7 linked regions of the Macaca fascicularis genome follow. The protein of the gene in region 2 interacts with the protein of the main gene of each other region in a biochemical or structural test. Links are inferred from orthologs where the notes say so. Each region holds a gene or a part of one and is shown on either strand. Other genes may lie near its edges.

What was found.
Region 1: the proteins of UBE2L3 (region 2) and STUB1 form a complex in vitro, tested with the Homo sapiens proteins (3 studies listed by BioGRID, with this or other methods). The link is inferred for Macaca fascicularis from reciprocal best matches to the Homo sapiens genes UBE2L3 and STUB1.
Region 3: the proteins of UBE2L3 (region 2) and ITCH form a complex in vitro, tested with the Homo sapiens proteins (19 studies listed by BioGRID, with this or other methods). The link is inferred for Macaca fascicularis from reciprocal best matches to the Homo sapiens genes UBE2L3 and ITCH.
Region 4: the proteins of UBE2L3 (region 2) and HECW2 form a complex in vitro, tested with the Homo sapiens proteins (2 studies listed by BioGRID). The link is inferred for Macaca fascicularis from reciprocal best matches to the Homo sapiens genes UBE2L3 and HECW2.
Region 5: the proteins of UBE2L3 (region 2) and WWP1 form a complex in vitro, tested with the Homo sapiens proteins (9 studies listed by BioGRID, with this or other methods). The link is inferred for Macaca fascicularis from reciprocal best matches to the Homo sapiens genes UBE2L3 and WWP1.
Region 6: of the proteins of UBE2L3 (region 2) and UBA1, one has a biochemical effect on the other in vitro, tested with the Homo sapiens proteins (24 studies listed by BioGRID, with this or other methods). The link is inferred for Macaca fascicularis from reciprocal best matches to the Homo sapiens genes UBE2L3 and UBA1.
Region 7: the proteins of UBE2L3 (region 2) and UBA6 form a complex in vitro, tested with the Homo sapiens proteins (4 studies listed by BioGRID, with this or other methods). The link is inferred for Macaca fascicularis from reciprocal best matches to the Homo sapiens genes UBE2L3 and UBA6.

Annotation. Positions count from the first base shown.
Region 1 is NC_088394.1:1,434,390-1,438,548, reverse strand, and holds STUB1 (E3 ubiquitin-protein ligase CHIP), read right to left. Parts: upstream 2,801-4,159; 5' UTR 2,679-2,800; coding exon 2,520-2,678; intron 2,176-2,519; exon of another isoform or gene 2,034-2,175; coding exon 1,835-2,033; intron 1,748-1,834; coding exon 1,582-1,747; intron 1,529-1,581; exon of another isoform or gene 1,390-1,528; coding exon 1,302-1,389; exon of another isoform or gene 1,163-1,301; coding exon 1,106-1,162; exon of another isoform or gene 1,019-1,105; coding exon 695-1,018; 3' UTR 435-694; downstream 1-434. UniProt on the Homo sapiens protein: E3 ubiquitin-protein ligase which targets misfolded chaperone substrates towards proteasomal degradation.
Region 2 is NC_088384.1:31,510,386-31,513,885, forward strand, and holds the end of UBE2L3 (ubiquitin-conjugating enzyme E2 L3), read right to left. Parts: intron 2,829-3,500; exon of another isoform or gene 2,827-2,828; coding exon 2,672-2,826; 3' UTR 353-2,671; downstream 1-352. UniProt on the Homo sapiens protein: Ubiquitin-conjugating enzyme E2 that specifically acts with HECT-type and RBR family E3 ubiquitin-protein ligases.
Region 3 is NC_088384.1:90,523,383-90,526,882, reverse strand, and holds part of ITCH (E3 ubiquitin-protein ligase Itchy homolog), read right to left. Parts: intron 2,715-3,500; coding exon 2,555-2,714; intron 1,757-2,554; coding exon 1,623-1,756; intron 1,293-1,622; coding exon 1,152-1,292; intron 1-1,151. UniProt on the Homo sapiens protein: Acts as an Acts as an E3 ubiquitin-protein ligase which accepts ubiquitin from an E2 ubiquitin-conjugating enzyme in the form of a thioester and then directly transfers the ubiquitin to targeted substrates.
Region 4 is NC_088386.1:91,856,129-91,859,628, forward strand, and holds part of HECW2 (E3 ubiquitin-protein ligase HECW2), read right to left. Parts: intron 3,417-3,500; coding exon 3,287-3,416; intron 1,678-3,286; coding exon 1,531-1,677; intron 896-1,530; coding exon 781-895; intron 1-780. UniProt on the Homo sapiens protein: E3 ubiquitin-protein ligase that mediates ubiquitination of TP73. Acts to stabilize TP73 and enhance activation of transcription by TP73. Involved in the regulation of mitotic metaphase/anaphase transition.
Region 5 is NC_088382.1:96,199,763-96,203,262, reverse strand, and holds part of WWP1 (NEDD4-like E3 ubiquitin-protein ligase WWP1), read right to left. Parts: intron 1,762-3,500; coding exon 1,628-1,761; intron 1,537-1,627; coding exon 1,396-1,536; intron 1-1,395. UniProt on the Homo sapiens protein: E3 ubiquitin-protein ligase which accepts ubiquitin from an E2 ubiquitin-conjugating enzyme in the form of a thioester and then directly transfers the ubiquitin to targeted substrates.
Region 6 is NC_088395.1:47,299,431-47,303,692, reverse strand, and holds the start of UBA1 (ubiquitin-like modifier-activating enzyme 1), read right to left. Parts: upstream 2,801-4,262; 5' UTR 2,606-2,800; intron 270-2,605; exon of another isoform or gene 229-269; 5' UTR 156-228; intron 1-155. UniProt on the Homo sapiens protein: Catalyzes the first step in ubiquitin conjugation to mark cellular proteins for degradation through the ubiquitin-proteasome system.
Region 7 is NC_088379.1:66,127,127-66,130,626, reverse strand, and holds part of UBA6 (ubiquitin-like modifier-activating enzyme 6), read right to left. Parts: intron 2,914-3,500; coding exon 2,808-2,913; intron 1,765-2,807; coding exon 1,675-1,764; intron 1,570-1,674; coding exon 1,489-1,569; intron 725-1,488; coding exon 596-724; intron 1-595. UniProt on the Homo sapiens protein: Activates ubiquitin by first adenylating its C-terminal glycine residue with ATP, and thereafter linking this residue to the side chain of a cysteine residue in E1, yielding a ubiquitin-E1 thioester and free AMP.

The sequences.
Region 1 (4,159 bases), on a different chromosome or scaffold from region 2:
TCTACGGCCGTAAGGTCAGCACAGGGTTGGGGTTGAGCCTTGGGGCTCGGTGACCAAAACAGGCAAGGGTGACGCTGCTGCTCCTGCCCCCAGCGCTGGTTCCTCTACCCACCTGAGAAGACACCAGAGTTCCACCCCAACAAGACCACGCTGGCCTGGCTCCGGGACACATATCCAGCCCTGCCACCGTCTGCACGGCCCCTGGAGTGTACCATCCGGGCTGGTGAGGTCAGTGGCTGGCAGGAGAGGGCCAGGCCAGGCCAGAGGCCCCCAGCTAATCTGTGCTGCACCCCTTTTCTCCACCAGGTGCTGTACTTCCCTGACCGCTGGTGGCATGCCACACTCAACCTTGACACCAGCGTCTTCATCTCCACCTTCCTCGGCTAGCCAAAGCAGCTGGCAGGCATGCCTGCCACACACCAGCACGTCCCATCTCGTGCTCATGGATTTTATTACACAGACAGTGTCGGCAGTGGCTTCAGCCCAGCCCACCCTCACCTGCTTTTCCAGCCCACAAAGGGGGACAATCATGGCCCAGCAAGAGCTATGCTGAGAGGGGGAATAGTCCAGAGCCCAACAGCAGAACTTGAACTTGGAAGGGGCCAGGGTGGCCAGCAACACAAACTATGTACAGGGGTGGAGGGCTTCCGCCCAGGGCTCTCCTGGACCAGGATGCTGGGCAGGGCAAGGCATCTCAGTAGTCCTCCACCCAGCCATTCTCAGAGATGAATGCGTCAATGACTTCCTTCATGGCCAGGTTGGGGATGAGCTGTTCCTGGGTCAGGGGGCTCCGGGTCACGGGGTCAAAATGACCCACGCGCTGCAGTGACAAGAAGGGCAGAGGGCAGTCAGTGGGCCCAGGACCATGCTGCTGGCCCTGCTCCCCCAGCCGCAGCCTCACCTGCAGGTGCTCCTCGATGTCCTTGCGGTCGTAGGTGATGCCACTGGGCGTGATGCACGGCTCCCGCATCAGCTCAAAGCTGATCTTACCACACAGGTAGTCGGGGATGTCACGCTTCTGTGGCACAGGGGCACACGATCAGAGGCTGGGAAGGGGCACTGCTCCAGCACCTGCCACCCACCGCAGCAAGTGACAGACACTCACCTTCCTCTTCTCGTCCACCTGAGAGAAGAGCTCGTCCATGTCTGCCATGTACTTGTCCTGTGAAGAGTTGAGCACTGCACTTGTGCGGGACACCCCACCTCCCTCCTCCATGGGGCACAGACCCAACACAAGGCGGGGATGCTCCCACGCCAGGTGCACACACACAGACCCACATGTGGGAGGGGGGCACCCTCACATGCTTAGCCTCAATGCAGGCCTGCTGGGCCCGGACGTGGCTGTCGTCCTCATCACCCTCGTGGTTCCGCTGGCACTCTTCCAGCTCCCTGGGGGTTGACCAGGAGCCAGTAAGAGATGGACCTGGCCAGATGTCTGACCACACCCCAACCTCAGGGCTAACATTCATGCTTCTTCCCCACGTTTTCTGCTCGCCAGTAAAACCTTCAATAAACGCTCATGTTGGTAGTTGGTGATTCAGAATTACCCCAAGACAGGGCGACCTGGGGTGAGGGTCCCACCTCTCACGCTCCGCGGCAATGAGCCTGGAGAGGTAGGAGTGCAGCTCGCTCTCCTGGTGGATGCGCCGCTCCTCGATGCTATTCCAGCGCTTCTTCTTCGCGATTCGAAGAGCGCTGGGGATGTCGTCCCCGAAGTTCAGCCGCTGCTCCTTGGCCAGGCTGTAAGCTGGGGAACGGGGGCTTCAGGTCACTCTCTGGCCAGTCCACCCGCCTGGCCCCAGGGGCCCCACAACCGGGCAGCTTGTCAGCCAACCTCGCTGCAGATTGGCGATGGCCTCATCATAGCTCTCCATCTCCAGCTGGCACTGCCCCAGGAAGAAGTGCGCCTTCACAGACTGCCCGTCCAGTTCCAGGGCGCGCCGGCAGTCGGCCAGGGCCTGCTCGTGCTGCTGCATCTTCAGGTAGCACAGGGCACGGTTGGTGTAATATACGGCCACCAGCGGGTTCCGGGTCTAGGGACCAAGGCCGGGCCAGCCGCATGAGGGTGTAGGCTCAGCGCGCCCCCTCTGTCCCACGGCCCGTCCCAGCTTCTGCGCTCTGGCTAGAATCAAGAAACTAGGCTTCTCAGTCGTCAAAGCCCCTGGATCCAAGGATCTGCAGACAGTGGAGTACTGGCTGAGCCTATCCGCTTGACTCCACTTGGTTTTGTAAAGTTTTCCAAATCTTTGGAGAGTCCAGGCTTTGGACCTGGGAGCCTCAAGGGGCGAGGGCCCCTGCCCTCCCCCCGACCCGGCCGGCCTCCATCCAGCATCCCACCCTCGTTCTCCGACACCCGGCGCTGGGCTCGGGAACCACGGCTGGGCTTTAGGAGCCCAGGACATGCCCCGCAGAGGAACCAGACCCTCGGTGGGGCCAGCCGGGCACGGGCCCGGCCCTCCCCGGCGCCGCCGCCGCCGCCGCCGCCGCCGCCGCCGCCCTTCCCGCGCGAGCGCACTCACGATCGCGCGGCCGTAGCAGGCCGCCGCCTCCGGGTACTTTCGGCCCACGAACAGACGGTTGCCCTGCTCCTTGAGCTCCTGCGCACTCGGGCTCTTCTCGGGGCTTCCGCCGCCAGCGCCCAGCCGCGCGCCGCCCTCCTTCTCCTCCTTGCCCTTCATGGCGCCGCGCGGCACGGCCTGGGCTGCGCTCCCAAGCTCCGCGCCTGGCGGCCCAGCGCCTGCAGCCCGAGCCCCGCAGCCCGAACCCGCGATCCTCTCGGGCCCGGCCCAGCTCCACCGCCGGAACTTCCGGCCGGGGGCGGGACCAGCGGGGACGCACGGGTGGGGGCGAGTGGGGCCGCGCGTGCGCCCAATCAGCCTGGACGGGGACGCTAGGCCCGCGGCGTCGGGGGCTGGGAGGAACACTCCGGTTCCCTCGCTCGGCGCTCTTAAGGGTCGGCGTTCGCGGAGGCCCTGGCCCGCCCTGCTGAGGCCTCTTCGGAACCGGCCTCGGCGGCGACCGCCACACACATTCGACTTTCCCAGTGAGATGCCTTGGTTCGCTGAGGGCGCACTCCCCCAACAGCCTGTCCCGACCACCTGGCGTTCCGCCCCCGCCGCAACGCGCAGAGACCCCTCCCCAAGCAGCGGGCCCCATCCAGAGGCCCTTCCCCCGGCAGCCAGCCCCGCCCCCAGCAGCCCGCCCCATCGGCAGACGCCCCGCCCCCAACAGGCCGCCCCACCCAGAGGCCCCGCCCCCAGCAGCCAGCCCCTACGCAGAAGCCCCGCCCCCAGCAGCCGGCCCCGCCCCCGGCAGCCGGCCCCGCCCCTCCGCGTGAACATAGTGGCTTCCCGCGCTGTTGGGTGTAAGGACCGCAGTCGCTGGGCCGCCATTCCGGAGCGCCATCGAGAGGTCCTACGGGTGCGCGCGGACCCCCGAGTGCGGCTGGAAGCCCTGGGCCGTTGGTAGAGTGGAAGGGGATAAAGGGATCGGTGGGCGAGCGTACCCTGTGGCCGGACCTCCCCTCACCGCCCTTCCCCAGGTATCGGGAGGAGTTGCCAGCGGCCATCAGGGGCAGAGCGGAGAGCATGTGACAGGGAGCTGGAGCGGCTGCTGGCCTGGAAGCTGGCGGCGAGGTGCGGCCCGCCTCGAGGGCGGGGCCTCCGTAGGGCGGGTCTTCATCGGGGCGTGGCATCGGCGGGGCGGGGCCTCCAGAGCGGGTCTTCGTGGGGGCGGGGCCTCCCTGTGGGTCCACCACGCCGGGCACCCTGACCTGGCTTCTCACAGCATCTGGTGACCACCAATCCCCCTGAGCTGGCTGTGCACTGTTCGACCACCACCTTCTGCCTCCTGCCAGATGTGGGGGCCGCGGTCACCCAGCTGTCTGCCCTCTGCGGTGTGGACCCACCACAGTCACAGCCTCAGGTGAGTTGGGTGGGCACGACTTGGGTACATAAGCGTCCTTGTCTGTGAAGCAGACAGTCTGGGCCCTTGTGTGTCTCTAGGACCAGGAGTCGGAGCCAGAGCTTGTCCTGATGGGGTGTCTGGCTGCTTCTCCTCGCTGCTCACAGCAGTCCTGGTGCCTGGAGCTCGAGATGGAGGCCTTCATGTCAGATGAGGCAGTGGTCACAGTGCCCGGCCTGCCGGCCCCACAGTACAC
Region 2 (3,500 bases):
CCTCTTCAAAACACGGATCGTAACACTCCCAGGGGGCTCCAGGATGACTCCCACATGTAAGTGATGCACCCACACGTTATTCCCTGTCCCCTCACAAGACATCCAAGAGCGCCCTCTGCAGGCCCCGACTGTCTGGAGTCTCTGGCTTTCTCGTTGATTATACCTCATCTCCTTCCCTCTAGGGAGGCAGGAACACCTCTATGTACCTCTTTTGGAGAGGCTGGGAATGGGGAGAGAGATCAGAAGCCCCAGGACCTGGGCCCCAGCCAGCCCTCCCATCTCCAAGAGCACAGGCCCCTGGCACTGCCCGCTCCCAGGAAGGAAGAAACCCACACGACTAACCAGTGTCTGAGAGCATTTTTATTAAGGGCAGCAGAACGGGATCGCAGCATCTTAGAAAGCCTATTCTCTGCCGTGGTGGGGAGTGGGGAGCAGAGGGAAGGACCCGGCACACTTCAAGAAACCAGGCGGGTGTGAATTCCTGAGTGAGCTAGGGGCAGCAGTGGGTGGCTGCTCCACAGCTCGCCCCTCCTCCAGAGGACCCAGCTTTTTGGTTTTGGAGCAGCCAAAGCTGTTCACCAGCTTGCTCAGAGCCTACCCTGAGGGCATGGCTGGCAGGAGCAAGTCGCCCAGGCCCGAAGGAGAGACACCCACTGGCTCGAAAGCCAGGCCTCTGCTGACGGGGCCAACCCTGGGGTGCCAGTGCCAGGGCTGAGAGTCCCTGAGGGGCTGCTGGCACACAGGTATCCTCCCGTGGTGAGCAGAGCGCAGTGAGGGGGTGACAGGCAGGCAGAGCTACGTTGGCAGAAATATGAAGCAATGGGACAGTTTCCAAGAATGGCAACATTTCTGGATCCAGAGAAGCAACAAGAACAAATGGTGGCTTGTTTGGATAGTTTCTGACAGAATTTGGCATTTTATTACAAATTGGAGTGTGAGTGAAATAAAATCCATCATCATTTTTCTGCTAATGAAGACACATATACGGAAACGCCAGCCCGGTGCCCTTGCCATTCTGGGCACACGAGTCTCCAGAAACCTGCCCTTGGCGTACCTAGGACAAAAGAAGCTGAGTTCATGTACACACCACAGGGGCCACGCGCCTGAATGATGTTAGGCTACCTAACCTGCCCATCACTCCCCACTTCTGCACAGATCAGACCGGAAAGATCTAGAATTAAAATTAAAACAAAAAGCAAAGTTTAAGTCATCTTCTCCACAGGATCTAGTCCCCCCCCAAAAGCCAAGAAGGGAAGCCACCAGTGGCAGAAGCGGGGTTGGTGACACACGGCATTTGGATCGTCGGCTTCCTTGGGGTGTCAGAGTGACACAGATTCTCTACTAGTTTGGGGACAATCCCATTTGCCTTGAAAAGACATTAATATTCAAATCTTTACAAGTTTATCTGATGATAAATTCTAAGGTCAATTTTTATTTCTACAAAAAAAGGCAGTCAAAACAATATAAAACACATTGAAAGGATATTACTGAGTGAGCTTCAAGTGGAGCTTGACTCTGCAAAGGCTGTGAGTCCAAAGGGAGAGGAAGTCCGTCTTGTTCCCGGGCTGGGCCAGCTGCTCTGGAGGAAGGGGTCAGCAGGGGCCCAGGAGACCCCAGACTGGTGCTTTAAATAGCCGAGTCCTGCTAATTCCAATCCTACAAAGGGTCAAAGTGTGCCGAGGGAGGGCTGTGGCGGGGCCGCTGCACAGAGGAAGTGGAGAGCAAGCTCCGTGGCACATTCAGATGAAACTCGGTGACAGATGAGCTGGGAATTTCAAACGGACATTCTGGCTGTAGCTTTGCCTGCAAGGACCAGCAGATCTTCTACAATGGCTGCAGGAAGAAGTGCCAACCTGGGACATCAGGAGCCTTTCTGGCGAGATTCATCACACACAGTGTGCACAGCATCCTCCTGACTAGCAGGCCCCCCATTTCGGGGCCACCACAGACCTGTGATTATAGGGTTTGTCTGTGCAGGCCAGGCCAGAGGTCAGTTACACACACTGACATCAGAGCTTGCCCAATTAACTCATTTTACTGTGGTAACATCAGCTGAAGATTCACACAAGAACTGAGGAGAAGGACTGGAGGAGGGGTGTGGCTGTTTGTTTTTAAAATTTTTAAAAGGATGTTATAAACTGGAGTCAGGAGAATTTAAACCAACTCCCACACTGGGCAACAGTCCCACACGTGCTAAGAAAAGCCACCAGGACCGCCAGGGCAGTCTCTTCTCTTTTGTGGAGGCGGGCCCCGGGTCTGGGGAAGTAAGTGAAAAATAAACTCAGTGCCAGAAAGTGGGAGTGGCAAGGGTAGGGAAGAAAGGGAACCACAACCTTTTTTTTCCTTTTTTTAAAACATTATGGGCTAAATGCAACTTGAAGATTTTGGATAAAATTGGACAAGAAAAGAAACACCATTCTTTTGGAATAGATTGAAGCAGTGATTTTTAAAACAAAGAGAGCAGAACTAGAACATCTTAAATTTTTAATCCTTTCTTTACAGGTTACCTAGACCACTTTTGATTAAGAAAACTGTAGAAAGTTAGTAACTGCCACAAGCGAACGCCAGGCGGTGGCACGTGTCAATTTCCACAGAGTCCTGCTTTGCGGGGTGTCTGAATGCACTGCACGGGGCCTCTGCTCACACTTGCTGGAACCAATCGTGGCAGATTTTAGTCCACAGGTCGCTTTTCCCCATATTTCTTTGTAAACTCTTCAGCATTCTTACAGAATTTTTTACGGTCCTTAGAGTATTCTTCAGCTAGGTCAGCCCGAAGCGGGTGCTCGGGCTGGGGGTCATTCACCAGTGCTATGAGGGACTGGATTACTGCCAAGAGAAGGACAAGGCATGGGGGGTTAACACAGTCTCAGAAATGGCACAGGCAAGAGGCAGCTAATCCCGGGAACAAAACTCTGGCTTTACCACTGGTTTATATCTAATGTGCTTTTAAGCCAAAGCAGCCTATCTATCCAAAATTCTGACCCCCAGAAAACTCATCTTTCCTCTGTGATTAGGAGACATTGATGGACAACAAATAGCTAACACTACAGTGGATAATTGTTCACAGTGATGTGCTTCCGCCTCCAGGAAACCTTCCTGACCTGACACCTGGGGAAGTCTTAGCCCTCAGTCACTCCCAGCCCTTTTTTCTTGGAAGGGGGTTGGGGAGGAGGGACAGGGTCTCACTCTGTCACCCAGGCTGGAATGCAGTGGCACCATCTTGGCCCACTGCAGCGTCAACCTCCTGGGTTGACCTCAAGCAATCTTCCAGCCTCAGTCCCCCGAGTAGCTGGGGGACCACCATGCCTGGCTAATCCAGTCCTCTTGTGTGCTCTGGAGATAGGAGGCCTAGCATTGAACTGCTCACTCTCTCACACACACACACACACACACACACACAGGGTCACTTTCTTCGGGGCAGGACTGGGTAGAACTTCCCTGCATCAGCCCAGCACCCAGCACCATGCTCGGCTCAGGGAAGTTTTGGTTAAGGTGACTGA
Region 3 (3,500 bases), about 59 Mb from region 2:
GATATGATATGGTCTTTTTTTTTTTTTAGACGGAGTCTCGCTCTGTCACCAGGCTGGAGTGCAGTGGTGCTATCTTGGCTCACTGCAAACTCCGCCTCCTGGGTTCAAGCCATTCTCCTGCCTCTGCCTCCCTAGTAGCTGGGATTACTGGCACATGCCACCACACCCAGCTAATTTTTGTATTTTTCGTAGAGACGGGGTTTCACCATATTGGCCAGGATGGTGTCAATCTCCTGACTTCGTGATCTGCCTGCCTTGGTCTTCCAAAGTGCTGGGATTACAGGCGTGAGCCACCGTGCCCAGCCAATGATGAGGTTTTTTTTTTTTTTTTTTTTTTTTTTGAGACGGAGTCTTGCTCTGTCGCCCAGGCTGGAGTGCAGTGGCCGGATCTCAGCTCACTGCAAGCTCCACCTCCCGGGTCTACGCCATTCTCCTGCCTCAGCCTCCGGAGTAGCTGGGACTACAGGCGCCCGCCACCTCGTCCGGCTAGTTTTTTGTGGTATTTTTTTTAGTAGAGACGGGGTTTCACCGTATTAGCCAGGCTGGTCTCGATCTCCTGACCTCGTGATCCGCCCATCTCGGCCTCCCAAAGTGCTGGGATTACAGGCTTGAGCCACCGCGCCCGGCCAATGATGAGGTTTTAAAAACAGAGTTTCCCTGTACAAGCTCTCTCTTTGCCTGCTGCCATCCATGTAAGATGTGACTTGCCCCTCCTTGCCTTCCACCGTGAGTGTGAGGCCTCCCCAGCCTCGTGAAACTGTAAGTCCATTAAACCTCTTTCTTTTGTAAATTGGCTAGTCTTGGGTATGTCTTTATCAGCAGCGGGAAAGTGGATTAATACACCTTACAATATTCCCTGTAAAAATATCTGCATATATATTTGAGATTCTTTTTAATGACATGTTATACAGCATAGTTACAGAATTGATATTTAAAAGAGTAATCCTGCATGACTTTTATCCTTAAACTCTTTCAAAAACACTTTTTGAAAAAAAAACTTTTTAGAAATGAAAAATGATTGCCTACATAGGATATTGATTAGTACAAAGACAAATATTATTTTTGGAGATAACTCTCCATTAGCATTAGTAAGCAATTATCAATACGCTGTAGTCAAACAAAAAGTGAAATGTGAAAAGGAGCACTCTCACCTGATGTATTCCTCTTTATTTTCTTCTGTTACAAGAATATTGCCACCATTAGGTTTCAGATCATGACTCTTAATTTCACCTAGAATTTCTTTGTCAACGGAGAAGTACATTTCCAAACCACATTCCTCAATATTGTTTTCTCTGCACAAATGAAATTAGCACTCTCTGTTATATCCACCAATTCAATCATAATTTATAAGTCTTTACCTAAGGCCCATATTCTTAAATAATTAAGTTATAACATCAAAATAAGAAGAAATAAGATTCTATTCTAAGGTCATCATATTATTGCCAAAGATCTTCGGTATATTTTTGTAAAATTTATCATATTGAATAAAAAGGCAGGTTTGATATATAGATCATTTAAATACAATAAACCAATTATGTGCTTACAGTTTGCATAGGTTATCAATACTACACGGAATGCATATAAACTATATTTTAATAAATTACATGGAAAAAGAAACTTACTTAACCCAGATGAGAGAATTGTAAAATTCTGGATCAATAGATTCTAAATCCTTGAGTCCAACTGGTTTGCTCAAGATACGCTTATAGAATGGTAGAGAAAAACTTGTGTCTATGATTTTCCCATGGAACAGAGCCTATGAAAAAAGGAAACAAGACTGCTTAAAATAATTGTACAATAATCATTTTATCTGAATATGTTAAATGAATTCTTCATTTAAAAACACTTCCCTGGGTCGGGCATGGTGGCTCACACCTGTAATCCCAGCAGTTTGGGAGGCCGAGGTGGGTGGATCACCTGAGGTCAGAAGTTCAAGACCATAATGACCAACATGGAGAAACCCCATCTCTACTAAAAACACAAAAATTAGCCAGGCGTGGTGGCACATCCTTGTAATCCCAGCTACTCAGGATGCTGAGGCAGGAGAATTGCTTGAACCTGAGAGGTGGAGGTTGTGGTGAGCCGAGATCACGCCACTGCACTCCAGCCCGGGCAACAAAAGTGAAACTTTGTCTCAAAAAAACACTTCCCTGGCTGGGCACGGTGGCTTACACCTGTAATCCCAGCACTTTGGGAGGCTGAGGTGGGTGGATTACCTGAGGTCAGGAATTCAAGACCAGCCTGGTCAACATGGCAAAACCCCATCTCTACTAAAAACACAAAAATTAGCTGGGTATGGTGGTGCACACCTGTAATCCCAGCTACTTGGGAGGCTGAGGCAGGAGGACTGATTGAGCCCAGGAGGCAGAGGTTGCAGTGAGCCAAGATTGTGTCACTGCACTCCAGCCTGGGTGATACAGCAAGACTCTGTCTCAAAAATAAAAAACAAAACAAAATCACTTCCCTTTCTCTCGTATGATCTGTTATGGCACCTAAGAGAAAATTTAGTATTGCTGAGTAAGCAAAGTAAACATAATTCTTGACCTGCACTTACCATGGCAATAAATCTGCCAATAAAACGAAAATATTTCAGGTGATCTGGATTGATGTAAGAAGCGGGGTTTATCTGCAAGCAGTAGTTATCCTTCCCTGCATATTCAAACAGGCAATACATTGGGTTCAACACTTCATGTGACAAAAGAAAGAACCATTCTCTGAAATCAAAAGAAAATTTACTATGAAAAATCTTGCAGGTTACCATGTCAACAAATCAAAGAACAGTGTTATAAAGTTCTCAGGGATCTATACCCCTCAGCTAGTGATAGTTTTCTAATCTCATGTTGATTTTTATTGCTTCTGTTCAAACTCACATCTATTTCACAGAGTTGGTAGTATACACCATCTCTGGTAGATGGTAATATATACATTATTACATTTTAAAGAATCTAAGACAACATTTTCCCAATTTTACCTGCGATATATCTTAATTTCAGAGATATTATAACATGAAAATACTGGTCTTAGAATCAATGAAATACTATTCATAGGCAAATTTAAAATTCACCATTCACCCATGTGAGTGGCTGAAATCAATCTAATATTCCATCTATTACTAAGTCCCATAATAATCCCCGTCAAGTGCCACTACTCCCTACACGTTAAATCAATATGAAAATTTCACAGAGGCAGTAAAGCACATAATTCCAGCCACTCACATATTAGAAAAATGCTGAGACTCTAAGTCAAATATTGTGAAAATATGAACCAATATTAACATAAGATTATGGTTACTAAAACTATGTAACATGGGTGATCTGGGGTAATACATGTGGCATAAGCCTGTAATCTGGATCTCTTTTCCTGTTAGTTCATGGCCTCTTCTGATAAGTGTATCTCGTGACACACTTTAATACTGCTAGTTGATTTTCTTATTAGGAATAAATGATTGCTCTTCTCTTCGATTGCCTTTAATTTATACAAAATTACATATTTCTACTCAT
Region 4 (3,500 bases), on a different chromosome or scaffold from region 2:
TGAAGGCTTTCTAACATGGTGATAAATTTCAGAACATGTATTCTTTGCTTAAAATTATTTAATAAAACCTTAACTCTGGGTTACCATCAGGTCCCTTGCAAAGTATTAGTTTAACACTCAAATTTCAATGGGTTTGGTCCCGGTTATGAATCGATAATTTGTACTAATCTGCAGAAAGGTCACTTTTAAAGCTTTCCATTTTGTGAAGTTTCAGATAGTGCAGTTTTTAACTAACCTTACTACAGTCTTCTTTTCACTTGAAATTCATGCTTGAATTTAGAACTTCTCCAATAATGTCATATTTTGGGAACTGTGTCTTATTCCATTCAAGTATTCTGACTATGAATGATAACTGTTAAGGAGTGTAGTGAATGGTGGGAAACCTGTGCTGACTGGGAACCTCAAAGGGTGTGCTTCTTTAAGTTTTAGAAACAAAATGGAATAGGTGGAGTTTGACCAGCTGGATGTTAGCTCCTTGGTGCTTCACTGGCAACACCATAAAGTAATTAATTAGTGTTCTTATGGTCACATTTCTTCACCAACAATTAAGAGTTATGACATCCTTTGATGCTGTGTAAACAGTCCTTCTCCCATCTGACAGATGAGGTAACTAGGAGAAGAAGAGAATGTACCTTGCCCAAGGTCTCAAGGGAGCCTGCAATCAGACCTATGATTAGAGTCCAAGTGCTGTTGCCTGTCCTATATTCAGTTGGCAAGCTGAACCAATGCCTTCCTTTAATCTGAAATTTAAAATCTAGCCATCTATAAATCAAATTTCACCTCCTCTATATTCTGTGTTGTTTCTCCAATCACTTAGGTCTATTTCAGCTGTGCCTGCGATGACCAATTCCAGTTCTCTTGCATCAAACACAGATACCAGCCTGGCATCCACCACCTGTGGAATAAAAAGAGTACAAGGCATGGCTTAGGAGCCTGGAGAAATATCAGCTATAATTAAGTCTTAGAAAAAGGGACACGTGGAGTTTCAGGAATAATATGTGTGTACCTTGAGCTGGCACTTGAAAACCTGTAAAGCTCCCTACAAATATAAGGCATTCTTTAAGGTTGATGAGATTTGCCTCGACAGAATTTTTGTTTTATAACTGACTGCTGATTAATCTAGGTCCCGTCCACCTTTAGGAAAATACTTAGTGTTTCTACAGAAAAAGCCACATACAATATGTGCCAACTCATTCTGACCTCAGATATAATTATTTCACATAGCAAGCATGAGATTTGATTACCCGTATCTAAGCATAAGATGCATGGCTTAAATGTTACTAGTGGTCATTAAATCAACAAATGCTACTTGAGTTCAGTCCCTAACATTTATTTCAGTGATCTCTCGTAACAGTGAGTTAAGCTTCTTTTGGTGCTCTTGAAATATAAGGGAAAAAATATTGAACTTTTCGCATGGAGAGAGCAACAGTAAACACAGCAGAAATCGTCTACACATGTAAGTACAATAAGATGGATTGTGGCATCATTGATATCAGACTGCAAACTCCTCCTACTGCTGATTGTCTTTACCTCATAGAAGCCACGCACTAAACTCTCTGTTTGTTGTACAACACCCCTCTCAATCCTCCACTTCACCATCCTCTCGATGTACTCCTTCTTGTTCTTCTCTGTAACTGGGATATTGGCACCCCCAGGCTTTAATTCTCGTTCAGTTATCTGAGATTAAAAAATAAAAAGAATGACTATAAAGCAATACTCTTACTGTTATAAGAACATGACTAGCAGTGAGCTGAAATCAGCCAGCTACCTGTCCCCAGCCCTGCCCTAGGCACATCCCACAAGCTGGCAGTGAGGCCCCAGGCACTCATGGAGCACATGCACTCAGGAAAAACTAGGCATTGAGCTGGTGCTTGAAAGCTTTGGTGATTTATATATATATATATATTGCTGGTACTACAGGTTAAGTTTTAAAATGCAGACGAATTGGCTTCAGATACCAGCCTGCTACTATTTGAATGTTTGACAAAACCCATTTTCACAAATTTCTCAGAATTGACTATATCTAGAGTAAAGATTTACTTTAAAGAAGCAGAATTACACTCAAGTGAATGTTAAATTGAGAACTTTTTCAAAACACATGGAAATCAGAAAAGCAGCTAAAGATTAATGCCTAAATAAGAATATTACTTATAAGCCGGGCGCGGTGGCTCAAGCCTGTAATCCCAGCACTTTGGGAGGCCGAGACGGGCGGATCACTAGGTCAGGAGATTGAGACCATCCTGGCTAACACGGCGAAACCCCATCTCTACTAAAAACACAAAAAATTAGCCGGGCGAGGTGGCGGCGCCTGTGGTCCCAGCTACTCGGGAGGCTGAGGCAGGAGAATGGCGGGAACCCGGGAGGCGGACCTTGCAGTGAGCTGAGATCTGGCCACTGCACTCCAGCCTGAGTGACAGAGCGAGACTCCGTCTCAAAAAAAAAAAAAAAAAAAAAAAAAGAATATTACTTATAAACTAGTATATAATTTCTGGAAGAAATGTTTTCCCTACTCTTTCCCTACTCTTTCAATTTTTTTTATTGAAAAAAAAAAATCAATATATTCTGTTTTTAAGTCTTCCCCAAAACATTGTTTATGTTCCCTTAGCTTCAAAAAAATCAATTTTGGTTCTTTTTTTTTTTCTTTTCTTTTTTGAGATAGGGTCCCACTCTTGTCCCCCAGGCTAGAGTGCAGTGGCATGATCCAGGCTCACTGCAGCCTCAACCTCCCCAGCTCAGGTGACCCTCCCACCTTGGCCTCCTGAGTAGCTGGGACTACAGGTGTGTGCCACCACACCTGGCTAATTTTTGTATTTTTTGTATAGACAGGGTTTCACCATGTTGCCTAGGCTGGTCCTGAACTTCTAGGCTCAACTGATCCTCCTGTCTTGGCCTCCCAAAGTGCTGGGATTATAGGCATGAGCCACCGTGCCCAGCCACCATTCTATAAATGGAATTTTAAAATTCTGTAGCGTGGACTTCAAAAAAACTGCATTCTATATAAGGTAAATTCTCATATTTTAGGGAATATTTCAGTTGGAAATAAAAAGAAGATTGCTTACAACATAAAAGGTTATCACCATCTGTAATTTACAGCATCTTAATCTGCAGCTGACATTAATTCTAACCTTTGTAACTGCGATTATTGTAACTGTGTGTGATCTGGAGTTTAAATCACCCAATAAACCACAAATAAATAAGCATCTGATCTTAGCCATGGAGTTAATTCTTCACTCGTCAATAGCTTTCAGTTACCACACTTAGGCACCAGGTGTGCAGAGACACACACCTGCCCAAATACTTCTTCGTTCACAGTGAACGTGAGGTCTAGGATGTCATGGATATCATTGTCTTTCATCCACTGCAGGCTCTGATGGAACTCTTCATCAAGGTATTCTAGATCACTCAGGTCACATAGACTAAGATGACAAACAGACAGAAACAAATATGTAGGCATGGCTATTAGCAAAAACCCACAGTAATAAGGAAAGAAACTAAGAATT
Region 5 (3,500 bases), on a different chromosome or scaffold from region 2:
AAAACCACCCCAGTTTACCTAGCTATTAAAAAATGAGCTAGATTTAACTGTACTGTCCTTAAGACAAAAAAGTAAAATACAGAGTAATGTGTATAATCCAATCCCATTTTCAAAACAAATATAAAAAACAAAAAATCTGAAAGAGACAGAGATGACAGCTAGCATCTAAGAGGGTGAAAATGGTAGTACTATTCATAGAAGACATCAGTAGGAGAAAATATCTAGAAAAAATGAAAAGTTTGATTTTAGACCCATGACATTTTAAGATGGGTCATCTGTAGTTCACGTGTTGGCAAAGTATGACCCGTGGGCCTAATCATCTGGTTTTTTTGTCCCCAGCATTTGAGCTAAGAATAGTTTTTACATTTTAAAAAAATGACTGAAAAATATTAAAAGTATTTTGGGATATGAAAATCATACAAAATCAAATTTCAGTGTCTACAAGTGTTTTACTAGAACACAGCCACACATCTATTTATACACTGTCTATGGTTACCTTCACACTATACCACAGAGGTGAGTAGTTGCAATAAGAAATGTGGCCTGTAAGCCTAACAAGTTTACTGCCTGGTTCTTTCCTGAAAATGTTTGGATTTACCTGGCTGGCAAATGGAAATTATTTCTAAAGTTCAGATATAACTTTAACAGAAAATTGAAGCTATGTTAGCAGAATATTTAGATAAGCAGGTTGAAATAAAATCTTGGAAAAATGCCTACATTTAGGAAATAGGAGATTTAGAGAACCGTCATTAAAAAAGTGCAAGTGACCAGGAGTGGTGACTCATGCCTGTAATCCCAGCATTTTGGGAGGCTGAGGAAGGAGGATGACTTGAGGCCAAGAGTTTGAGACCAGCCTGGGCAATACAGTGAGACCCTGTCTTTAAAAAACAAAAACAAAAACAAAAACAAAAAACCATTGTTTTAAATTAGCTGGGAATAGTAGTATAAGCCTGTAGTACCAGCTACTCAGGAGACTAAGGCAGGAGAATAGCTTGAGCTCAATGGTCAACCACGCCACTACTACAGCCTGAGCGACAGAGTGAAACCCTCTCTGAAAACAAAATTTTAAAACAAGAGAATGTAAGGAAAATCAGTATGACATAGGATCATGGAATTCAAGAAAACACTGAGTTTCAAGAAAGAGGCTATGGTGAGCACTATTTAAAAGCCTAAGTTAAAAAAGGGAAAATGACATGGAAAGGGAAATGGTAGAATGGTTACAGCAAATGGCAGTGGGAAAATGAAGCAACATACATTCTTTTTTTTTCAAGAGCAGTGGTACTGGTGAGAAGAACTTCCCAAAGGCATGAAAAGGGGATGAAATTAAGGGTACAGAGAAAGGATTTAGTTCTGAAGTGTTCTAGAAATTAAGCTTAATAAGGTATATCGCCTTACCCAATATATTCATCTTTGTTCTCCTCAGTCACCAGAATATTGGAACCTCCCAATTTCAGGTCATGTGAAGTAACTTTTCCCAAAATCTCCATGTCAACAGAAAAGTACATTTCTAAGCCACATTCTTCAATGTTGTTATCTCTGGGTGAAATAAATATATATACACTAATTAACAAAATGAAACAAAACGAGTTTCAAAAAAATGACTTACTGCAAAACAAAATCTTCAAACCTTATCCAGATAAGGGAGTTATAAAATTCAGTATCAATAGATTCCAAATCCTTAATAGTAAGTTTTTTACTTAACATACGCTTGTAGAATGGTAAAGAGAAACCAGTATCGATAAACTTTCCATGAAATAGTGCCTGCAAAGAAAAATGAAAAATTTTATTTAAAATTTGCAAAATAACAATTTCTTACAGAACAATGATAACAGAAAAATCATGAGACTTTACAAGTAAAGCATTCAGTAAGTGAATGGCATAAATCATGAAAACTAAAATATTATATAAAATGCTAGGTATGAAAAACAAAGTTAAAATCTATTTTATACATACAGCTATATAACATATATCAAAAAATGTAGAGGATGATACAAGACTTCTGTTACCATACCCTGCCTCAATCTTCCTAAATGTTTTATAAATTGAATTAACCTAATTGGATAACGAAATAGAAAAGGGCTCTGTGCACCTGAAAAGGCAGCTCCCCCGTTCCTTTCTTATTCTCACTGTTGCATGTGAGGCTTTTAGGACTAACCTCACTGTGCCTTTGCTCCTATTCACAACAGCCAACCCAGGAAGCCCCAGACTCCCAGCAATGTGGGGGAACTAAAAAAATCCACTGAAGCTATTAATACTACCTTAGCCTCCTCATGAAGTTATGTCTTCCCTTACTCAGTTTAGATTCCATAGTCAATCATTAAAATAACTACCTTCAAGGTGGGGCACGGTGGCTCACACTTGTAATCCCAGCACTTTGGGAGGCTGAGGCAGGTGGATCATGAGGTCAGGAGATCAACACCATCCTGGCTAACACAGTGAAACCCTGTCCTTACTAAAAATACAAAAAATCAGCTGGGAATGGTGGCACGCACCTGTAATCTCAGCTACTCAGGGGAATGAGGCAGGAGAATTGCTTGAACCTGGGAGGTGGAAGTTGCAGAGAGCCAAGATCACACCACTGCACTCCAGCCTAGGTGACAGAGCAAGACTCTGTCTCAAATAATAAAATAAAATAACTCCCTTCAAACCCTACCTCCGCCAGTGTATTCTAGCAAAATCCCAAGCACAGCTAAATTCAACTCTCAGGTTACTCAATGTCTATACCTAGGCAATGGAACATGCTAGAAATGCATAAACAACCAAGCTGACTCCTCCATGACCAACAGTCATATTTCATCACTGGTTTGTTTCCTGGTAATCACATTTCCCTACTGCATTCACTCTCCCACTTTCCTAGATGACTATTTCATTCCTACTCCTCTTTCCTCAAATACTTACTTCTCCCTGCTCCTTATTCTGAGTTGATGATCTTACTTCCTATTTCACAGAGGAAACAGAAGCAACCACAAGAGAACTTTTGTGTGTTCTACTATATCTGCTCACTACTAGCATCTGAATGCATATAATCTTATTACAGATAATCTTTCTATCAACTAGTATGTGTGCTAAATAAATCTCTTCCTCTCTCCAACTCAAGTCCATTGCTCTCATATTCCTTATATTCTGACTTTATCAAATTCTTTATCCTCTAACTTGGTAGTATTGTTTAGATGTTTCTCTCCTCCAAATCTCATGTTGAAATGTGATCCCCCAGCTGGCTTCTTCATACAGAAGAATGAAACCAGAGTGCTACCTCTCATCATACACAAAAATTAACTCAAGATGGACTAAATACTTAAATGTAAGACCTAAAACTATTAAAATCCTAGAAGAAAACCTAGGAAATGCCCTCTTGATATTAGCCTTGAGAAAAAAACTTCTAAGTCCTCAAAAGAATTGCAACAAAAACAAAAATTGATAAATAGGACATAGTTAAACTAAAGAGCTTCTGCACAGCAAAAGAGGGAGTAAGCTAACCTACAGAATGGGAGAAAATATTC
Region 6 (4,262 bases), on a different chromosome or scaffold from region 2:
GACAGAAACTCTGGATAGGAGCTAAAGATCCCCCACCCCCAGCAGAAAAACAATCTACACCCTTCCTCCCTCAACATTTGCTCAGGCCCCCACTATAACATACACACTGTGAACTGTTTGGCAAAGCTGAGCTGCGGCTTAGTTTCTAAACATACCTGAGTCTCCAAACTGAAGATTTTCAAGCGTAAGCATTCTCTATTCTCAAACCAGAGGGTTTGAGGGAGGAGTCTTGGAGGTGTGAGAGGAGGCAGGTTAGCAGGATGGAGAAGCTAGGGCATAGAGAAGGGGGGCTGGAGCATGTCAAGCTTTCCGGGAGGGGTTAACTGAGAAGTCCATGGGAACGTGAGAGGAAAATCAGGAAGTGGGTGTCTAAGAGCAAGGAGGCTCTGAGGCAAATGGGAAAGGAGATGTTAGAAGTCCTGGGAGGGAAGGGACTAGGCTAGGGTGTTAGGAAAAGACTCAAATTTCGGATCTCTGGAAAAGGATCTTTTAGAGAAAGGCTGAAAAATTGCAGTGGAGGCCCCCAGAGGCTGCAAAGAGGTAGGAGGGCAGTTGCTGGGCCCCATGGAAGCTGCAAAGGGAATGGGTGGGGGATTCTAGAGTCTGAGGAGGCAGCAGGAAGACGTTGGGGTCTGGGGGGAGGGGTAGTCTCCATCAGGAGGATGTTGAGGCTCTGGAGGTCTCTGGAGACAGATGCTGGTAGCAGAGAGAAATCTTTAACCAAAAATAATAGATAGGGACATGCAAGAGGAGAGCTGTATCTGACATTCCTACTACAGAATCCCAGGAGGCTCTGAGGGTGGATGGTGAGGGGCTGGGAGAGGTTTCTAATGGAACACAAAGGCCCTGTGTCAATCTCTGACAGGACATGCTAGGTATCACAGCTGCTCTGAGGGGGTGGAAAAGGGAAGCTGGGCCCAGATAGTTCAGGCCTTAAAAAGGTTAGTAAGCAAACACTGGCTAGGTCCCCAAATGGGGTTGGGTTTCTCTGACCAATTATGTAGGACCCCATGGAGACGCTGAAGGTAGATGCTAAGAAGAGGGTTTTCTATTGCGGTAGAAAACAAGAGGGCCATGGCCGGGCGCAGTGACTCACGCCTGTAATGCCAGCACTTTAGGAGGCCGAGGCGGTGGATCACCTGAGGTCAGGAGTTCGAGACCAGCCTGGGCAATATGGTGAAACCCCATCTCTACTAAAAATACAAAAATTTAGCCAGGCGTGGTGGTGCATGCCTGTAATCCCAGCTACTCGGGAGGCTGAGGCAGGAGAATCGCTTGAAGCAGGGAGGTGGAGGTTACAGTGAGCCGAGATGGCGCCACCGCACTCCAGCCTGGACGACACAGTGAAACAACTCCGTCTCAAAAAAAAAAAAAAAAGGAAGAAGAAAGAAAACAAGAGGGCCTGTGGGTGGAAGGGACATCTGACAATGATCCTGGGGTCCAAGGAGTCTGAAAGCAGAAGCTGAAAACCCCTGACTGCAGACATTAGGGACCTTGAAAGTATCTGAGGGCAGATTCTGAGGCCTGATGTGAGGATAAGAGATCTTTGAAAAAAGCAGCTAGAACCCGGGTTGTCTTTTGACGGCAGAGGCTGGGTCTAGGGTGGGGTAGGGGAGGCGAGTCTCTGATGGAAGGGGCTAGAAGCCAACCGGGACTGCAAGAGCAGATGCTCGCAGGGGCTCTTTGATGGAGGATTATGTATCCAAACAGTTCCTCCCTGCTATCTGGTGCACCGGAAGGCTCTGGGGGTTCAAGGTGTCTGATGGGGAAGATGCTGAAGCCTCTCAGTAGTCTCTGAATACTGGGAGTATGAAAAGCAAGAAATTCCGTAAAAGTAGAGAAAGTGTCAAAGGACGGAGTCTAGGAATTGAAGTCTCTCAAGGCAGATGCTAAGAGGGGTCTCTGAGTAGAAATACTGGGCAGAGTCTCTAATGAAAGACGCTAGGGCCAGGGTGGGGTTAGGAGACCTGAGGTGAGGCGAAGAGGGTTCCCCGACACAAAGGCCAGGCCCAAATGGCCTTTCACAGGGTCTAGTACCCCTGGAAGCTCTGAGCGTGGCTAACATGTGTGTGGGATGGGGGGTCTGAAGGAAAATGCAAACGAGGACTCTCTTACAGAGATAAAGAGCCTATGGACCCCTTCCAGGTCTAGCCTGTCTTGGAAGCCTTGAGGGCAAATACTGAGAGGCTAGGAGGTGTCTCAAAGGAGATTCTGGGGCAGGTCTTTAATGGCATTCAATGGTGAGAAGCTCTGATCAGCAATGCTGATCCCCGTAAATCTCTATCGGAGACTGGGGAGAGTTCTGATCTGAGATACAAGGTTCGGGACGGAGTCAGGTCCCAGACTAGAGATGTTGGGCATGAGTCTCTAAAAGCACATCGTGGGGGTCCGACTCCAAGGTCAGATTTTGGAACTAGAGGGATCCGGGGTGGTCCTGGCCGGGGAAAGTCGGCCCCGCCCCAGGCTCTGCTCCCCCTCCCTACTCCGCTGATTCCTGGCGCCCGAGTCACCGCGGCCCGCCCCGACAGCAGCGTGGCTCAGGCCCTTCCAGTGCCTCCCCGAAACCCCTGCCCCGGGCGAGGCGCAGTGAAAGGACGTTTTTTACCAATGCCGGTTCCCCGGGTCGCGCCGCCGCCAACTCCTCAAGGAGCCGAAGCCAAGCCCGGCCGCCACCCTCCTCCTTCTCCTCCTCCCCGCCGCCTGGGCCGCCTAGAATCGCCGCTGCCGCCTTCTCCTCCCCCGGCCGCTGTGGCTGTGGTTGTCCCTGCCACCTCCTTCAGCCGAGCCGCCGACACAAGATGGCGGCCGCTGAGCCTGGGGCCGGAACAAAACCTTGGGCCCCACCCCCAGAAACCCGGATGCAAGCGGGCCGCGCCTACTTATGAATCATGCATAAAGTTCCCGGTCCGGTTGCGATTCATTCGGTTAGAAGTGGAACAGTACCACCTGGTGGGCATTGTGGCAGTAACAACGAAAACAGGTAAAAGAGAGGCCACGCCTCATGGAATGTGAATAATGAATGGTTGCAGCCAGGCTGTCATGGAAGCGAAGAAAAACCATTAAGGTCACGCTTCCTGATTATAAGTTATGCATAAAGTTGAGTGGTTGGTAGACTAACAACCAGCAACCAGACAGCAGATATTAAAACATGGAAGTCACACACCTCCATTCATGAATAATGATGATCTTGCAGGGGCCCGGAATCCAAGGAGACCCAGGCCACAACTTACTCATGAATAATGCATAAGACCCAGTGGGTTGGAATAAAAGGAGCACGCCCACCTATTGCTGCACCTAATACACTATAAGCAGGGAAATGGGGCTACTGCAGAGAAAACACACTCTCCCAGGTTCTGAATAATGAATTACGCTGCTGCAGTAGCTCAACCTGGAAACTCAAGAGAGGTCAAGAAAGGTTCCACCCAATTTATGAATTATGCATAAGGCGAACAAACACCCAAGACTGCCCTACCCAGCAAATAGAGATTACGATGCTATAGCCAAGGCAAAGTGAGCACGCCTTCCTGTTCATGAATAATGAAAGATGTCACTGCAGTGCCACCAGAAAACCCAGGGGAAGTGTTCTCTCTGCCCCTGCCTCCTCTCCCCACACCTCCCTCCATTCTCCCCGCCTCAGGAACAAGGGCTGCCTTAGTCCAATCAAACCCAAACTCATTACATGTCTTTGGCAGGTGCCTCAGTTTTCACAACTGTAAAATGAGGATAGTAACAGAGCCCATCCACCTCACAGAGATGTGTTATTATGAAAATCAGATCACGCCTGTAATCCCAGCACTTTGGGAGGCCGAGGCGAGTGGATCACCTGAGGTCAGGAATTCGAGACCAGTCTGGCCAAGATGGTGAAATCTTGTTTCTACTAAAAACACAAAAATTAGCTGGGCGTGGTGGCGGGCGCCTTTAATCCCAGCTACTGCGGAGGCTGAGGCAGGAGAATCCCTTGAACTCGGGAAGCAGAGGTTGCAGTCAGCCGAGATCGTGCCATTGCACTCCAGCTTGGGCGACAAGAGTGAAACTCCGTCTCAAAAAAAAAAAAGAAAATCAGAGAATATAAATTATGGGATGAGTCTTAGAACATTGCTGGCACAAGGCACTGTTAAATTTTTAAAACATTATATATTAATATAAAGGTAATATGTTAAGATATGTAAATATATATTTACATTAATATAAAATTAGTTATGAATACTCAGCCACAAGAGAAACCCCCAACTTGGGCCACTGCTTCCCCATCCATAAAATAG
Region 7 (3,500 bases), on a different chromosome or scaffold from region 2:
CAGGGATCACTTGAGCCCTGGAGTTCCAGGCCAGCCTGGAAAACATAGGGAAACCCCGTTTTTGTTTTTTTGTTTGTTTTTTTTCCAAGTTGTTTTTAAGGAAGATGAACTAAAGAGCCTAAAGAGAGGGAAAGACTAAAGAGAATGCAACACACATTTCAGCAACCATATTTAACTGGAGGTAAGAATAACAGCTAATATTTAGTAATTTTTTATGTGCCAGGCTCTGTTCTAAATGCTTTATAAGTCTTACCTCCTTTTATCCTCACCACTACCTTACGTATTAGGTACAAATTTATTATTTCTATTTTACAGATGGGGAAACAGACATAAAGAGTGATTATCGGATATGGGTGGAAATAGCAAAATCCCAGCAAAATTTCTGACTGAATACGCCTATTTTCTCAGTTTCTTGCTTCTTCTATTCTTAATAAACTTCTTTTAGATTAGCATGTGTTCTCATTTAACTTACTACTAACTTCTGAAAAGCTTGCCAAAAGAAAGAATATACATTTCAGGTCAATGAAATTAATTTGTTAATAACTAAAAAAGCCAAGGTCAGACCTTTTCTTAATGTCTCACAATGCATACTTACCTTATGGTTAAAATATTTTTCAAACTTTAATCTTGCTAATTCTACACACTGGGACCAATTTCTAGGTCTTCTGCTAAGTAACTTTATAACTTGAAAACAGCCTTCTAAACTGTGTCCACTCTGTATCTTCTAGAATGGGAGAGAAAAAAAAAAAAATCAACATATTTCCAATTACAAACATATATACATCCCCCAACAAAAGTTTGCCTAAGTTTGAAGTGTCAACTCATGTGTTTTATGCTTTTCTTTTTTCACCTCAAGCTCCTTTTCCTTCCTTCTTTAAGCTCTTTTCTGTTTGAGAAGGGGAAAGGTAAGAAATAGCACACAAAATTTTAACTCTGATTTCTTATCTTACAAATTATCCTCATATTTTCCTAGCTCTAAGTTATTAGTACTATAATATATGTACTTACTAAAAGTGCTATGAATATTTGATACTAAAAAGTGGGCCTTGTTATTATATTAAGATTAAAAGAAAGTGAGAAAACATCTTTAAAGTTGCCTTCACTATAAGAGTAATAAGTCTTGGAGATAATTGTTCCCTCATGAAATTTTAACTAGAACTTACCTCAATTTTTTCTTTCCAAAGGGCTTAATAAAAGCCCTTCTATTATTTGTAGCCTTTCTATCATAACTATCATATCTTTATTAGCTTGAACCATATGAATTGCTGTTTTGTGAGTTAAACATGGTCAAATATTGACAATTCTGTATAGTTCAACCAAACCAAAAGGATAATTTGTGACCTAATTTCAAGATTCCTTATGTATCATTTCACTTTTTATATACAATCACTCTTTATGGAGGTAAAATAAATCACTTGTAGATGACTTGAAAATAAGATTACACTGACACAAAGTGTTAAGCTTGTATTAAAATGTAGTGATTTTTACCTGTAAGACTTCTTCTGCAGATGAATAGGTTTGCCAAAATTTGTTAAACAATGAAGGTTTGTGGGAAAAGGAACTTTCAAACTGTAACAGAGAAAAGGAAAAAAAATTAGAAATAGAAGGCTGTTTAAAGTCAGAAATATCTTCTTTCTCACTTCAAAGAAAATAAATTTAAAAAGGAATTTTTACCTTATCTCTTGCCCACTGTATGGTATGTTCAATAGCAGCTGGAAAGGATTTTAGAGTACAAAATGGTACTTCCTCTTCTGGGGGATCCCGCTAATTTATAAAATATGACCACAGATACTTAAGGAGCAGCAATGACCAATTTTTATTGGTTTAATTTACTTTTGAGCTTTAAGGCTATTAAAAATCCAAAGATAAATAAAATCCAACCAGACATTTTTATATCTTCGCTCTCTTAGGCAATAAGAGAAGTTAATTCTTTTGACATTTAACCTATTTGTTAACAGCTATGTAATGCCAAACATGAATCTTATTTATTATTTGTGTACTCATTTAAAGCACCATGTAGTACTCATGACACACCATCATCTATAAATCATTTTTTTCTTCATGAATCAAGGTGAAATGTAAAGTTTTATAACACTCCCTGCTTTGAAAAGTAATTCAGGAATACCCAGTATAATGCTCGGAAAAGCATGAGTTTTTCCATAGAGAAAAACATCTGGGAGCAGAAATACGTCCTCAATGCTTGATACAGGTTTCTTAATCTTCTTTCTCAATACTTATAATACTTATATTCTACAAATTTTTATTTCTTAAAGTTTTATTTTCTTCCCCTCTTTGACCCAAGATTACATACTTTTCATATTTTTCAACTGATAAATTAAATAAATGGCAAATACCTAAGTCATTTTTTTGTGGATAAAGTACCACTGAAGAAATCCACATTCTATTATAGAGTACATTTTGCCTAGGTTTATTGGTTTACCTAATCTAAAATGGCTCACTTCGTCTCAGCAAGCGAATAAAATTTTATGTCTTTGTTGACGGTTCTAGTCTCAATCTAATAGTTTGTTCTTATCAAACAATCTTAAACTCAAAGGGTATTAGAAAACTAAGCAGCTCTGAGAAATAAATAGTAAACAGTAGAATAATGCTCCAGAAACAACAGACACAAAATTCTGATAATTAAAAAAAAGTTCAATTATATTTTAAAAAATGTACATGCACATATGTATGAACATCATTGGCACAGCAAACTCAGAAGGATTAGGAAAGCTAAATCAAATTGTTGATCAAGACAAAAATTATAAGACATAAAGAAGACATTTATTTCAAAATACTGATTCACTTACATGACTATTGTAAGATTCAGTCAAATGTGGTACAATAACTTCAGTGTGCCCCTTAGTGCCCATTGTTCCAGAATCTAAGAGAGGCCTTAGATTTGCTAAGCAACGACTATTTGAAAAGATAACAAGTAAAAAACAAAAAAGTGAGCAATAACAATGTAACGAAAGGACATCCTACTACTTTCTTTTTTTTTTTTTGAGACGGAGTCTCGCTCTGTTTCCCAGGCTGGAGTGCAGTGGCCGCATCTCAGCTCACTGCAAGCTCCGCCTCCCGGGTTCGGGCCATTCTCCTGTCTCAGCCTCCTGAGTAGCTGGGACTACAGGCGCCCGCCACCTCGCCCGGCTAGTTTTTTGTATTTTTTAGTAGAGACGGGGTTTCACCGTGTTAGCCAGGATGGTCTCGATCTCCTGACCTAGTGATCCGCCCGTCTCGGCCTCCCAAAATGCTGGGATTACAGGCTTGAGCCACCGCGCCCGGCCCCTACTACTTTCTATTGACCATTTCATATACTGATCACTTCTTGAATGCAGTATTTTAGGAAAACAGATACAGTACTATCAAACAGTGGATCAATCCTGTTCCCCTATTCTGCACTATATATACAAATTTTGTTGTTCAATCTAGTAATTTCTCTCTTTCCTACTACTCGTACCCTAAATCTGGGACTTTCTTAACCTCTGTCTCTCGGTTAATTC